Linked DNA regions of Daphnia pulex. The main gene of each other region encodes a partner of the protein of the gene in region 2 in a complex. Links are inferred from orthologs where the notes say so. Each region holds a gene or a part of one and is shown on either strand. Other genes may lie near its edges. The genes, in order: spliceosome-associated protein CWC27 homolog, U5 small nuclear ribonucleoprotein 200 kDa helicase-like and pre-mRNA-processing-splicing factor 8.

Evidence for each region.
Region 1: U5 small nuclear ribonucleoprotein 200 kDa helicase-like (region 2) and spliceosome-associated protein CWC27 homolog share a complex: the UniProt entries of both Homo sapiens proteins name them as parts of the minor spliceosome. The link is inferred for Daphnia pulex from reciprocal best matches to the Homo sapiens genes SNRNP200 and CWC27.
Region 3: the proteins of U5 small nuclear ribonucleoprotein 200 kDa helicase-like (region 2) and pre-mRNA-processing-splicing factor 8 are in contact, whole or in part, in a cryo-EM structure (PDB 7OS2), measured with the Homo sapiens proteins. The link is inferred for Daphnia pulex from reciprocal best matches to the Homo sapiens genes SNRNP200 and PRPF8. Residues at the interface, in NP_054733.2 of Homo sapiens: Pro543, Met544, Arg545, Ser546, Thr570, Gly571, Thr589, Glu591, Lys592, Ile595, Arg624, Arg728, Lys729, Glu773, His786, Ala787, Thr814, Glu837, Tyr992, Thr1008, Ser1010, Ile1012, Leu1041, Glu1042, Arg1043, Val1044, Pro1045, Ile1046, Pro1047, Val1048; in NP_006436.3 of Homo sapiens: Trp2073, Arg2074, Ala2077, Ile2078, Ala2081, His2084, Asn2109, Lys2113, Tyr2168, Glu2171, Met2172, Arg2266, Leu2268, Gly2269, Phe2270, Gln2276, Arg2287, Leu2298, Ala2299, Asn2300, Glu2303, Glu2307, Arg2310, Pro2311, His2313, Phe2314, Leu2315, Asn2316, Phe2317, Ala2318.

Annotation. Positions count from the first base shown.
Region 1 is NC_060020.1:8,996,587-9,000,338, reverse strand, and holds spliceosome-associated protein CWC27 homolog, read right to left. Parts: upstream 2,791-3,752; 5' UTR 2,396-2,790; coding exon 2,354-2,395; intron 2,293-2,353; coding exon 2,127-2,292; intron 2,058-2,126; coding exon 2,014-2,057; intron 1,940-2,013; coding exon 1,903-1,939; intron 1,842-1,902; coding exon 1,708-1,841; intron 1,629-1,707; coding exon 1,599-1,628; intron 1,530-1,598; coding exon 1,393-1,529; intron 1,330-1,392; coding exon 1,171-1,329; intron 1,082-1,170; coding exon 950-1,081; intron 883-949; coding exon 695-882; intron 619-694; coding exon 498-618; intron 435-497; coding exon 272-434; 3' UTR 227-271; downstream 1-226. UniProt on the Homo sapiens protein: As part of the spliceosome, plays a role in pre-mRNA splicing. Probable inactive PPIase with no peptidyl-prolyl cis-trans isomerase activity. As a component of the minor spliceosome, involved in the splicing of U12-type introns in pre-mRNAs.
Region 2 is NC_060022.1:2,647,009-2,650,760, reverse strand, and holds the start of U5 small nuclear ribonucleoprotein 200 kDa helicase-like, read left to right. Parts: upstream 1-1,366; 5' UTR 1,367-1,411; coding exon 1,412-2,702; intron 2,703-2,709; exon of another isoform or gene 2,710-2,715; intron 2,716-2,767; coding exon 2,768-3,752. Other genes in the region: zinc finger protein 704-like, read left to right, coding at 57-290. UniProt on the Homo sapiens protein: Catalyzes the ATP-dependent unwinding of U4/U6 RNA duplices, an essential step in the assembly of a catalytically active spliceosome. Plays a role in pre-mRNA splicing as a core component of precatalytic, catalytic and postcatalytic spliceosomal complexes.
Region 3 is NC_060027.1:2,056,583-2,059,977, reverse strand, and holds the end of pre-mRNA-processing-splicing factor 8, read right to left. Parts: coding exon 2,981-3,395; intron 2,903-2,980; coding exon 796-2,902; 3' UTR 578-795; downstream 1-577. UniProt on the Homo sapiens protein: Plays a role in pre-mRNA splicing as core component of precatalytic, catalytic and postcatalytic spliceosomal complexes, both of the predominant U2-type spliceosome and the minor U12-type spliceosome.

The DNA.
Region 1 (3,752 bases), on a different chromosome or scaffold from region 2:
TTTTATCCCCGGTTATTTCGTGACCGTTCGTGACCAATCCCGTTTATATTGATCCCACGAAAAATTTTGGAGAATTTTCCTTTACATAACAATTCCTTTACGCGTGCAGACTACTTTGGCTACAATTGACACACAAGTTTATGTTCCAGCAAGCCTAAGTGACATTTGTTTCTGATTTTCAAGCTCGTTGAATCAAAGAGAAATTGGTGAGATTAACAAACAAAGGTGAGTTTTATATGTGCATTTCAAAACTGGAGATCATTTTTAGTTTTTAGTTGAATTTCCTCTCTTTCATGATCTTCTTTGATTCCTCTCTTCTTCGTTTGTTTAAGGGGTTACGGGGATCGTAGATTTCAAACCAATCATCACTTTTTGTATTAGCATCTCGGGCTAACGAAGGATTTTTGTCTTCGAATTTCAACGTGTGATTCAACCTAGAAAGAAATAAAGAAATTCTGCAATTTTCAAATTTATAGGGATAAAAAATTATTTCTCACCATGCATCATCATCGTTTACGTCATCAATATCATCAACGCCTCCTTTCGTTGTCCGAGTTTGGCTAAGCTTACTCTGAAATTTTTTAAGGAAATTAAGGGTTTCAGCTTCTCGGTCCGTGCCTATTCCAAATAGAATATTAAAACTTGTTGATGATATGATGAGGTAACAAATATTTTAAACAATTGATCTATTTACCCTTTCCTCGCCGTGTTGTTTTTATGTCCGCATACTTCTTCTGCTGCTCATGAAAATCTTTAAGTATTTCATTATCTTCTTCACTGTCGCTAATTTTTCTTTTCTTAGATAATTCTTGATCTTGAGGAGTTTCACTTGGGTTTTTCATTTCCCTTTTCAAGTCTCTTATCTGTTCTTTGATTTGCTTTCTAAAAGTAAAGCATTTACTTATGAGCATAACTATCAAGTAATTGTTATGACTTGTTTGTTTCTTACAGTTTGTTGTTTGCTTCAGATTTCTTTTGGTTCGAAATGTCAACATCTACACTTTCAGGTGATACTTCTGGTTGCAAATCAGTTTGAGGCACAACCTTTTCAAATTGCCGTTCAATTTTTGTCGGTTTGTCGCTGAAAATATGACATGGAAATTTTACATATGAATGTAGACCATACACAGTCTTTGAAAATGATCTGACGGCTTGTTCTATTAAACGTACTTATTTGTTAACCCCGTTTCTACGTTGACTGCAGGAACAATGCTAAGTTTAGGGTCGTTAGTCAGTTCATGAGAAGATTTCCCACGAAAAGACTTAGTTGGCTGATGAACATCTGTTTCATCTTCTTCTTCGTCCCCAAAGGAAAGCAGCTGAAGATTCCTACAGAATCAAACACAAGCTCTTATAGCAGTTATAACAATATTACATAGCTGGACTTAATACTTTTTTTTATTTATTTTAGATTTTATTTCCTCTGGTTTCTTGATATTTTCTTGGCTAATCCTTGGTTCAATGTCAGGGAATGGATTAGAAATAACTTCTGTTTTAAAAATTTTAGGTGGATGACGAGGTCTATCTTCCTATAGCGTTTATGATTTTATTGATTTTATTATTTTATTATTTGAGTTTCAAAATTTAAATATACTTACACTATCAATATCCAAGTCATTAAATTTGATCTATGAGAAAGAGAAAAAATTGTACATTAGAATTTCTTGAATAATTTGTTCCCAGCGTAATTAACAAATTGTCAGTTACCATGTTGAACAAAGTATTCCCAGCAACCCTACCAAAAATTGTGTGCTTATTTTGCAGTTCCGGACAAGAACCCAAGGTAAAAAAAAACTGTGATTCATTGTCATTGTTTCCAGTGTTAGCCGTTGCAACCAATCCTTAAAAAGATGTTTGAAATGGTACATTATGTAATAAAAACACAGAAGATGTTTGCTTTACCTCTTCTGACAAATCGTAGACGTGAATGAACTTCGTTCTGAATACCAAAAGATTGTAAAAGGTTAATAAAGACTGAAATAATGAATTCTATTCAAATGAATACTATGTAACCTTGAATGGTTCCCCATAAATACTTTCACCACCATGGCCAGTCCCTAAGAAAAAGGGGTGGTAATTGTTTCAATCAAATATAAATAACAACAGATCACATTATTAAGTTTTACCAGAAGGATCTCCTCCTTGAGCAATAAAATTTGGTACCACTCGGTGAAAAATTGTTCCATTGAAAAATCCTTCAAGGCATAGTTGAACAAAATTTCTGCAAGCCTTTGGACATTCTTTGCTCCACAGTTCTATTTCAATTTCTCCTAGAGAAGTAGTCACAACAACCTAAACAAAAGTTACGTTTTAGCACGTAGTTCAATCAATGATACATGAAAAGAATACAAACTTTTCCATTTGTTGGTGGTTCTTGAACGTATATGTTACTCATTGTTGTAAATCGAGGAGAAAAAGGAAGAAAATCAAAATGAAACTAATTAAAATTCCGTGTTTTGATGTGTATAATGTGCAGAGGTAATGTGTAGCTCGACAAAGCTAGTAGTAGTAGCAATCTAGCATCTATGTCAGTTCTATGTCTAGTTCGGAGTTGTTGGCTGCTAGTTCGAGCGAACTGTGTTTGGTTTTTTTTTAAACAAACAAACCATTTTATCCTTTCGACTCACAGCGCTACTGGTGGCAGACGATTGCAACGCACTGTAAATAAGAGTTGCCTGATACTATGCTGGCCATACTCATACATTTATCGCTCTTGAATTCTGAGTTTCTGACGGAAAAATTCACTTATCTTCAGTCTTATTCGATAACTATCGTTGTATCGTATGGATTTAGTAAAAATAGATTTCCTTATAGGACACACATAGAACTAAGCTCGTGATTTACTGATTTGGAATTTCAAAAAATCTCTCCCAACTATTTCTTTATCACTCATGAAATAATTAGTTAATAAATTCATTTTAATTATTTTTCTCTTAAAATTTGGGATCAGGATTTCAACTGTGATGTCCCAAAACTGAAATCTGCATTTCTGTAAAAAATTAAAAATCTGCTGGATAGCTCCATACCCTTAATTTGATCTAGAAACCCTTTTTCCTCATCTTCCTATTCCTACCGCTATAATATCTCAATTGCGTTTTGTTTTAGGTATAGAAACTGAAAAATCTAAAGTGTGAGGAAAGCCTTTGTATCTTGTTTTCTACTGTGCTAAGAGTATTTTTATTACAATAAATATATTTTAAACATTAGATTTAAAAACTTAAACTTTACCGCGATCAACCTGACAAATTTTCTTTTATGAAATCTGGAATTTTTTTTTTTAATAACCCGACCTACTTTTAGTAGGCAAAGACGAAAATTCAGTTTCTTTTTTGGAAAGTTGTGTATTTTAGCTGAAGGTTATTAATTGACTAAGGAATAGGACAAACCAAGTCATGGATGAAGCTATGACCACAATGTACCAAACAATAAAAGTATGGCCTGCTTTCTCCAAATTCTATTTTCTCCCAATTTGGTAAACGAATCTGCTGCTGCGATACTTATTATTAGCATGTAATTAGCAAGCAACTTTACGGAGGCTTCAGAACAACAACCGCAACAAAATCGAATAGCAAGAGGAAACGCAAGTACCGTGTGAACGTGATGAGGATGAAGCCGGATGAAACGCCTATCGGACGATGACGCGACATGACACACTGAACGTATGGCAGGCTGACAAATTTTAGACTTTTTCACCTATTTTGGGGTTTTTCCGTAACAATCATTGTAAACCTTAAACAAATATATCTGAGACA
Region 2 (3,752 bases):
CAATGTCAATTATAGATTTTCACTAATTTTTTAAAATTTATTTGTTATTATTCTAGAATGCGCTCAAACAGGCCAAAGTGGTTGTGTCGCCCAAAACGTCTCCTTCACCGGCGCCCCCACTAGCGCCACCATCTACTACCGGAGCTTCGGTCTTTACAGTCAAGAGCAGTCCCGTTCGTCGGCCCCGCGGCGAGGCCAAAAAGTGCCGCAAGGTTTACGGAATGGAACACCGCGAGCAGTGGTGCACTCAATGCAAATGGAAAAAGGCTTGCACTCGCTTCGGCGAGTGAAACAAATGACTATACCACACCCCAATGTGTACGTATATATATACTATTTAATCCTTTCCGAGAAAAAGAAAAACAACCGCTCGGATTTCCGACTGTAGAAATTTAATCCGTTTTCCGCTTGATTTTGACATGGAACAAACGTCTCCCCTCCTTTTTCTTTGTCTGATTGTGTTTTGTTGTTTCATGGCTATTTTTCTTTTTATTGTTGTCGACAGGAAATTTTTTTTTAAATTTTGATGTCTGGTGCTGGATGTATTGCGGAATAGGAGCCAAGTTTTTGTGCGGATGACGGATCTCAAAAGATCTATGACACTTGGCGCGCTGGGCGGTTGATATTGTTTGAAACCATTTTTACTTGCGGGCAACTTTTTGACAAAAGACAAAAAAACGTTTTGACTTTATTTTTTATTTTTTTAATTATTATTGGCTTTCGTATTTGTTATGACAAATTCATGCCGGAGCGTGTTGTTGTGTGTGCATAATTTTCGTTGTGAAGATGCAGTGTTGTTTTGTATCTTGCCACTGACCAGGCTGCCGTAGCTCAGTGACGATTTCTCTGACTGGTGTCGTTATTACCTCTCGTACAACATCATTGAAAAAATATTGTTTTCATCCCTATGTCCCACCTCATATCTGCGTTACTCTCAAAAAAGCTTTGTACAGCGTTAGATGGCTTTTTTCTCTACCAATGTTTCTTTATTTCGTCGATTTAGAGTTATTTTTGCAATAACGCTGCGTGAATTTTAACGTTTATAGATTTACCCTATTTAGACCTGATTTTGTTTTTCCATCTCCTTTGTAGTTCGCATAGTGGGGGGTTTTGTTTCTGTGTTTTTTTCTCATTTCATTCTCAAGACCGATGGACTTTTGAAAAATGTTTGGTTTTTTCTCCTTACAAAAATGGTGTTTTAGTTTCTTAATTGCTTTTTTTCTGTATTTTTTTTATCCCTTTTTTCGCGCGTGTCGACCCAGAGTTTTATGGCGAGATTTTTAAATTTTTCAATATACAAATTTCCTCTCGAATTCTGAATTTTGTTTTATTACAAACTGGCAACGCTGTCAATTGCCTGTTCGAACAGCATACGAAACTTTCGTCAGTGTCTAAAAGCAAGCCGTAAGAAATGGCGGACGCCGCAGCACGTTCGCTCCAGTACGAGTATAAAGCCAATTCTAATTTGGTTTTACAAGCTGACGTTCGTTTAATCGATCGCCGAGCACGAGATGAAGCCACCGGTGAGGTTATGTCCCTTACTGGGAAGTTGGAAGGAACTCGCATGGGTGACAAAGCCCAACGGATGAAACCGGCAAAACGTCAGAAGCGTGATCCCAACAAAACTGATATTGGTGGTAAAAATGGTGGAAAAGGACCTTTGCAAAGCGACAACCTGGATGAAATCTCTGGCATCATCTACAGGCCCAAAACGCAGGACACCAAACAGACTTACGAAGTGCTTCTCAGTTTTATTCAGGAAGCGTTGAGTGATCAACCCAGAGATGTGTTGTGTGGTGCTGCTGATGAAGTCCTCACGGTTCTCAAGAACGACAAGCTCAAGGATAAGGAGAAGAAAAAGGAAACAGAGGCTATGCTTGGCTCCTTGCCAGAAGAAAGATTTGCCCTGCTCGTTAACCTGGGTAAGAAGATCACAGATTGGGGCCAAGACGAGAAAATGGGTACTGGAGAAGAGCAAATGGACGACCAGTATGGCATCAATGTGCAATTTGAAGACACAGACGAAGAAAACGAAGAAGAAAATGTGTATGGAGAGATTGGAGAAGAAGATGACGGTGAGGATGAAGCTGATGAAGCTGAAACAGACCATGCCATTCATGCTGATGCTGTCGCAAGTGGCGTCGATTTGGGCGGTAAAAAAGAGAAGAAATTGCATCCCCTCGATATTGATGCCTATTGGCTTCAGAGGAAGCTGTCAAAGTTTTACAGTGACCCCATGGTGTCTCAAGCCAGAGCCGGTGAAGTCCTCAACATCCTCAAGAATATCCAGGATGAAAGAGAATGTGAAAATCAGCTAGTTGTCTTGCTTGGTTTTGACTGCTTTGACTTCATCAAGCTGCTTAAACAAAACAGACACATGATTCTTTACTGTTCGTTACTGGCATCCGCACAGAGCGAAGCTGAACGTCGAAGCATTCAAGACGAGATGAAGAGCAATCCCCATCTGAACAAGATCCTTCGACAATTAGATACTGTGAGGGACGACACTGGAATCGAACCGATGGAAGTCGATTTTAAAAAGAGTTCACGTCAAGGTACTTCTGCCTCCAAAGAAGTCGGAGGTGGAGGACAGGAAGGGTACAGTGGCATTCCAGGTCTTCGAGAGCTACTGGACTTGGAGGATCTTGCATTCGCTCAGGGCTCTCACTTCATGGCCAACAAAAAGTGTACACTTCCAGAAGGTATAATAATTTAGTTTCTCATCTTTTAATTTCAATCAAAATTTAAACATGGACTTGTATTGCAGGTTCTTTCCGAAAACAGCGTAAAGGCTACGAAGAAGTTCATGTGCCACCATTGAAACCTAGGCCTTTTGATGCTGATGAAATGCTTATTCCTATCGATAAACTTCCAACCTACGCCCAACCAGCTTTCGAAGGATTCAAAACGCTCAACAGAATCCAGTCTAAAATCTATAAAACAGCTCTCGAATCGGATGAGAACATGTTAATTTGCGCCCCAACCGGCGCCGGCAAAACCAACGTGGCTTTGTTGACAATGATGAGAGAATTGGGCAAGTACATCAATCCGGACGGAACAATTCGCGTTGATGAATTCAAAATCATCTACGTTGCACCCATGCGTTCGCTCGTACAAGAGATGGTGGGCAGTTTTGGCAAAAGACTGGCGCCTTTCAACCTGAAAGTTGCCGAATTGACGGGCGACCATCAACTCAGCCGTGAAGAAATTGCACAAACTCAGGTGATTGTCTGCACGCCCGAAAAGTGGGACATTATCACTCGCAAATCAGGAGACCGAACCTACACGCAACTGGTCAAGTTGATGATCTTTGACGAAATTCACTTGTTGCACGACGACCGTGGTCCAGTTTTGGAAGCCTTGGTAGCTCGTACTATCCGCACCGTCGAATCCACTCAAGAAGATTTGCGATTGGTGGGTCTTTCTGCCACGCTTCCCAATTACGAAGATGTGGCCACTTTCTTGCGTGTCCGACCCAAGACGGGTCTATTCTTCTTCGACAACAGCTACCGCCCTGTACCCTTGGAACAGCAGTACGTTGGAATCACGGAGAAGAAAGCTGTTAAGCGTTATCAGATTATGAACGAAATTGTATACGAGAAGGTAATGGAGCACGCCGGCAAGAATCAAATTCTCGTCTTCGTTCATTCGAGGAAAGAAACCGGCAAAACAGCACGTTCCATCCGCGATCTTTGTTTGGAGAAAGACTCTCTGGGAGCCTTTCTACGTGAGGGTTCCGCTTCTACGGAAGT
Region 3 (3,395 bases), on a different chromosome or scaffold from region 2:
ATAAAACTCCAATAACTTTGCTTCCTGTTTGAAGTGAACAACCGCAACAGCATTTAGTTAACTTGCAACACAGGCTACTGTTGTTGAACGCAAAAAATAAAGCTACAGAACTGAAATAACGAGGCATGATGATCACTGTTGGAATACAAGCAGGACTGCGAAACTGCCCTGCAAGTCTGCAACTGTCCGTGTTCACAAGACCACGTCAATAAGAGAACTGTCTCAGTAGGCGGTTTTGCTAACCCCTTAAAAGGTACAAAATGGGGAATAAATTTTTTTTAAGGGTTATGGTAATCAATTCAAGGTTGCATCTTAAAAAGTAATATTTTTCACCTGTGCATTAAAAGAACTCTGGGTGGGGAGAGGAAGGGTTAGAAAAACAAACTGAAATTGATTAAGTATTAGCTCTTGGCTGATTTCGTTGTTTTAACTTCTAGGACTTAATTATTCGTAAGCTAATCAATTCGTTAAGTTGTGTAAAGTACAAAAGGATGCTCTCTTGATCGATAGTAACTTCAGATCAAGGCAGATATGGAACAGAATGCAATGGAAACAAATTAAACGTTGCAGACGGAAATAAAATGTTTGCTCTATTGTATTCTGTTTAAATCGAATCAAACAGAAAGTACATTAAAACATGAAAAAAACTTCAAGTTATAAGAATTGGGAAGCAAAACACAAAGCTTGATTTCATGAGTTCCCAAACATATTATTTTCTATTTTCTCCGGCTATGTATTGGGAACGGGCCCCGGATGGAAACGAAAAAAGACCATACAAAAAAAAAATCAAGAAAATCAAGCGAACGAGTCATCACGATCTGCTCCGACACTGTCACCTTCCTCGATGGAGGAGAAATTCATGAAATGCGATGGCCGATGAACCTCGTGATAAAACTCCTTTGGATTGGCCAGGTGAAGTTCATACTTCATGTTAGGGTCGTGGCGAACACCCATGAAATTGTAGTTCCACGAGCCCTGGCAAGGGACCATGAAAAAGCCGAGGAATTGATCGGACAACAACATTTGCACTCGCTCGTAATGTGACGGTAGATAACCCTTGGGATTGTTGCCGCGATCCGTGTTCTGTTTGCCCCATTCAAAGCCGCTGGGCGTCAACTTGTAGGCCATGAGCGAACAAGAGCCAGGTGTGAAACTGCACGTAATGATCACAGTCTTCTCGCCATCCCAATTGGCATTGTCGGCCATCACTTTGGCGTGAGTTGTAATATCCTGTGGCGACAGTTGCGGCAACTCATTGGGTTGAGTGTGCATCCAGCCGAGTGGCTCCAGGTCTTTGAGGTACTCGTGCTGGGGTAGTTGGACGGGCAAGTGGATCGACTGATGCGTACCCCATTGAGGCGGCATCACAATGCAGCGAATCTCCTTCACCTGAGGATTGTCAGGTGGACTGATGCCGTAAAGGTATCCCGCAATCTGCGCTCTCAAGTCGGAAATGGTGACAAACTTTTTCAGCACGTTCTTGGGTAGAATGTAAGTGTAGCCCGTCTCTTTAATGTCGTCCGATGAAACGTAAATGTGATTCGTTCGGAGGTGGAGGTTGGTGGCCGAAATGGCTCGGATTCTCCATTCGGTCTTGGAGCTGAATGTCTGCGTCTCGTAATTGGAAGTGGTGCTCGTGATGATTTCGTCACCATGTTTGTTGACTGTTCGTGTCGTCGTAGCTGTCAGCTGCGTCTGCTCCTTGGTCTGCTTCTCGATTTCGGCAATCTGCTGACGTTGGGCCGAAGGGGCACTGATCTCCATACCGAGAATGATGTCTCGAATTTCAGACTGTGTCAGCGAAGCCACGTTGACGTTGTTCTTCTTGCCGTAATCCGCCAGGATGAGATCCTTGAGTTGCACTTCAACTTTGATCCATTGCTCGTCCGTCAGTGAGGGCCAAATGTGGTGGGCTTCGGTGATGGTGGTCTTGTCCGGTTTCAGCACCACCTTGGTTCGGTCATTGTTCACGTGAAGGGCGCGCAGAATAAGAATAAGACGGGAGAATGCCGTGTAGCTGGAAATGGTTTTCAGCCAATCGTCGTAGAGGTTGAACAGGACCATCTGGGGTTCGGTCGCCTTCAAAATCAAATCACCAAACTTCTCGACTTTAAGGCAGGCCTGGAAGGGAAGCTGGAGCTCAGAGCCCTTGATGACAATGTTGGGGAAATCCAGCAAATGGACTTCGAGGGGATCCAACATGCCCTTTCGTGTGACGATGATCTGTTTGGGCTGTTCTTCCACGGGCAACGATCGAATCAGGGCGGCAACTTCTTCGGCAGTCTTCCACTTCGCCAGCTGACCCAAACGCTTCTGACCGGCCCATACGGACGTGTGAATAATCTTGAGGAAAAGCTGACCAGTACGAGGATTGAAGATGAAAATGGCTCCGTTAATGGGTTTGGTCGTCAAGTTGCCTTCGAAGGTCTTGTGGATCGTGACACGGTAGACGTTTGTATCATCGACGAACCAAATGATTTGATTGGAGAACAATTCGCCGTAATTCTGCGATGACAAGTAAGGTTCCGTCGGCTCAGAAGAATACAGCTGGAGACCTTTGCGGATACGTTCGCGCAAGACGTAGAGAGCAGGATTGGCCTTCATGATCTTCGCCATGGCTTGTTGGATAAGCGGCTTGGATCCAGGGAACCAATTGCCGTATGCACTGTGCAAATTGTAGGCCAAATCCAGGGCAATCAGGACACCAGTCGGCGACGGATAGATGGACATGTTGTCTGTCGTGTAGTCGAGGAATTTAGCACGAGAATAACGTTCAATGTCGTGGGAATCGTAATCGCCCCAACGCAGCTGGACATCAATCCAGTATTTTTGTGTGGTGGTATTGTCCATGACATCACGAGAGTCAGCCAAAAGGGATGGCCGAGAAACGTTCCACTTGTACCTGAAAAAACAAAATGAAGAACATGTAACAAATATTACAACAAGGAAAACACAAGACAGAAAAATAAGTTCCACTTACGAGGCGAAGAGAAGGATGTCGGCGCAGGAAGAGTTCATCTTGTAAGATTTACGGGGATGAATAGTTTCTTTCTGCACAGTTTCAATCTCCAAAGCGTCAAGTTCCTGATCGAAAACTTGACAAAGATCCATCACGACGGATTCGTGGATCTTCTGCCACAAATGGGCACGGAAAATTTGAATCAAGGAAATCTTCAACGTCGGGATTTTGCCGTGCATGAAAATGCCAGTCAAATCGAGTTGGACCTGGAAACCAACGTAGACGTTGGCTCGGTTGATGGTTGGCGACCACCACAGAGTGAACCGACGGTTGGGAATTTGATTCAAACCGGAACGCTGGGCATTAGTCAACTTCTTGTACTTCATCGACTCTTCGAAACCGGACGCCTTCTCCCAAAAGAGACCTTCCCAGGTGG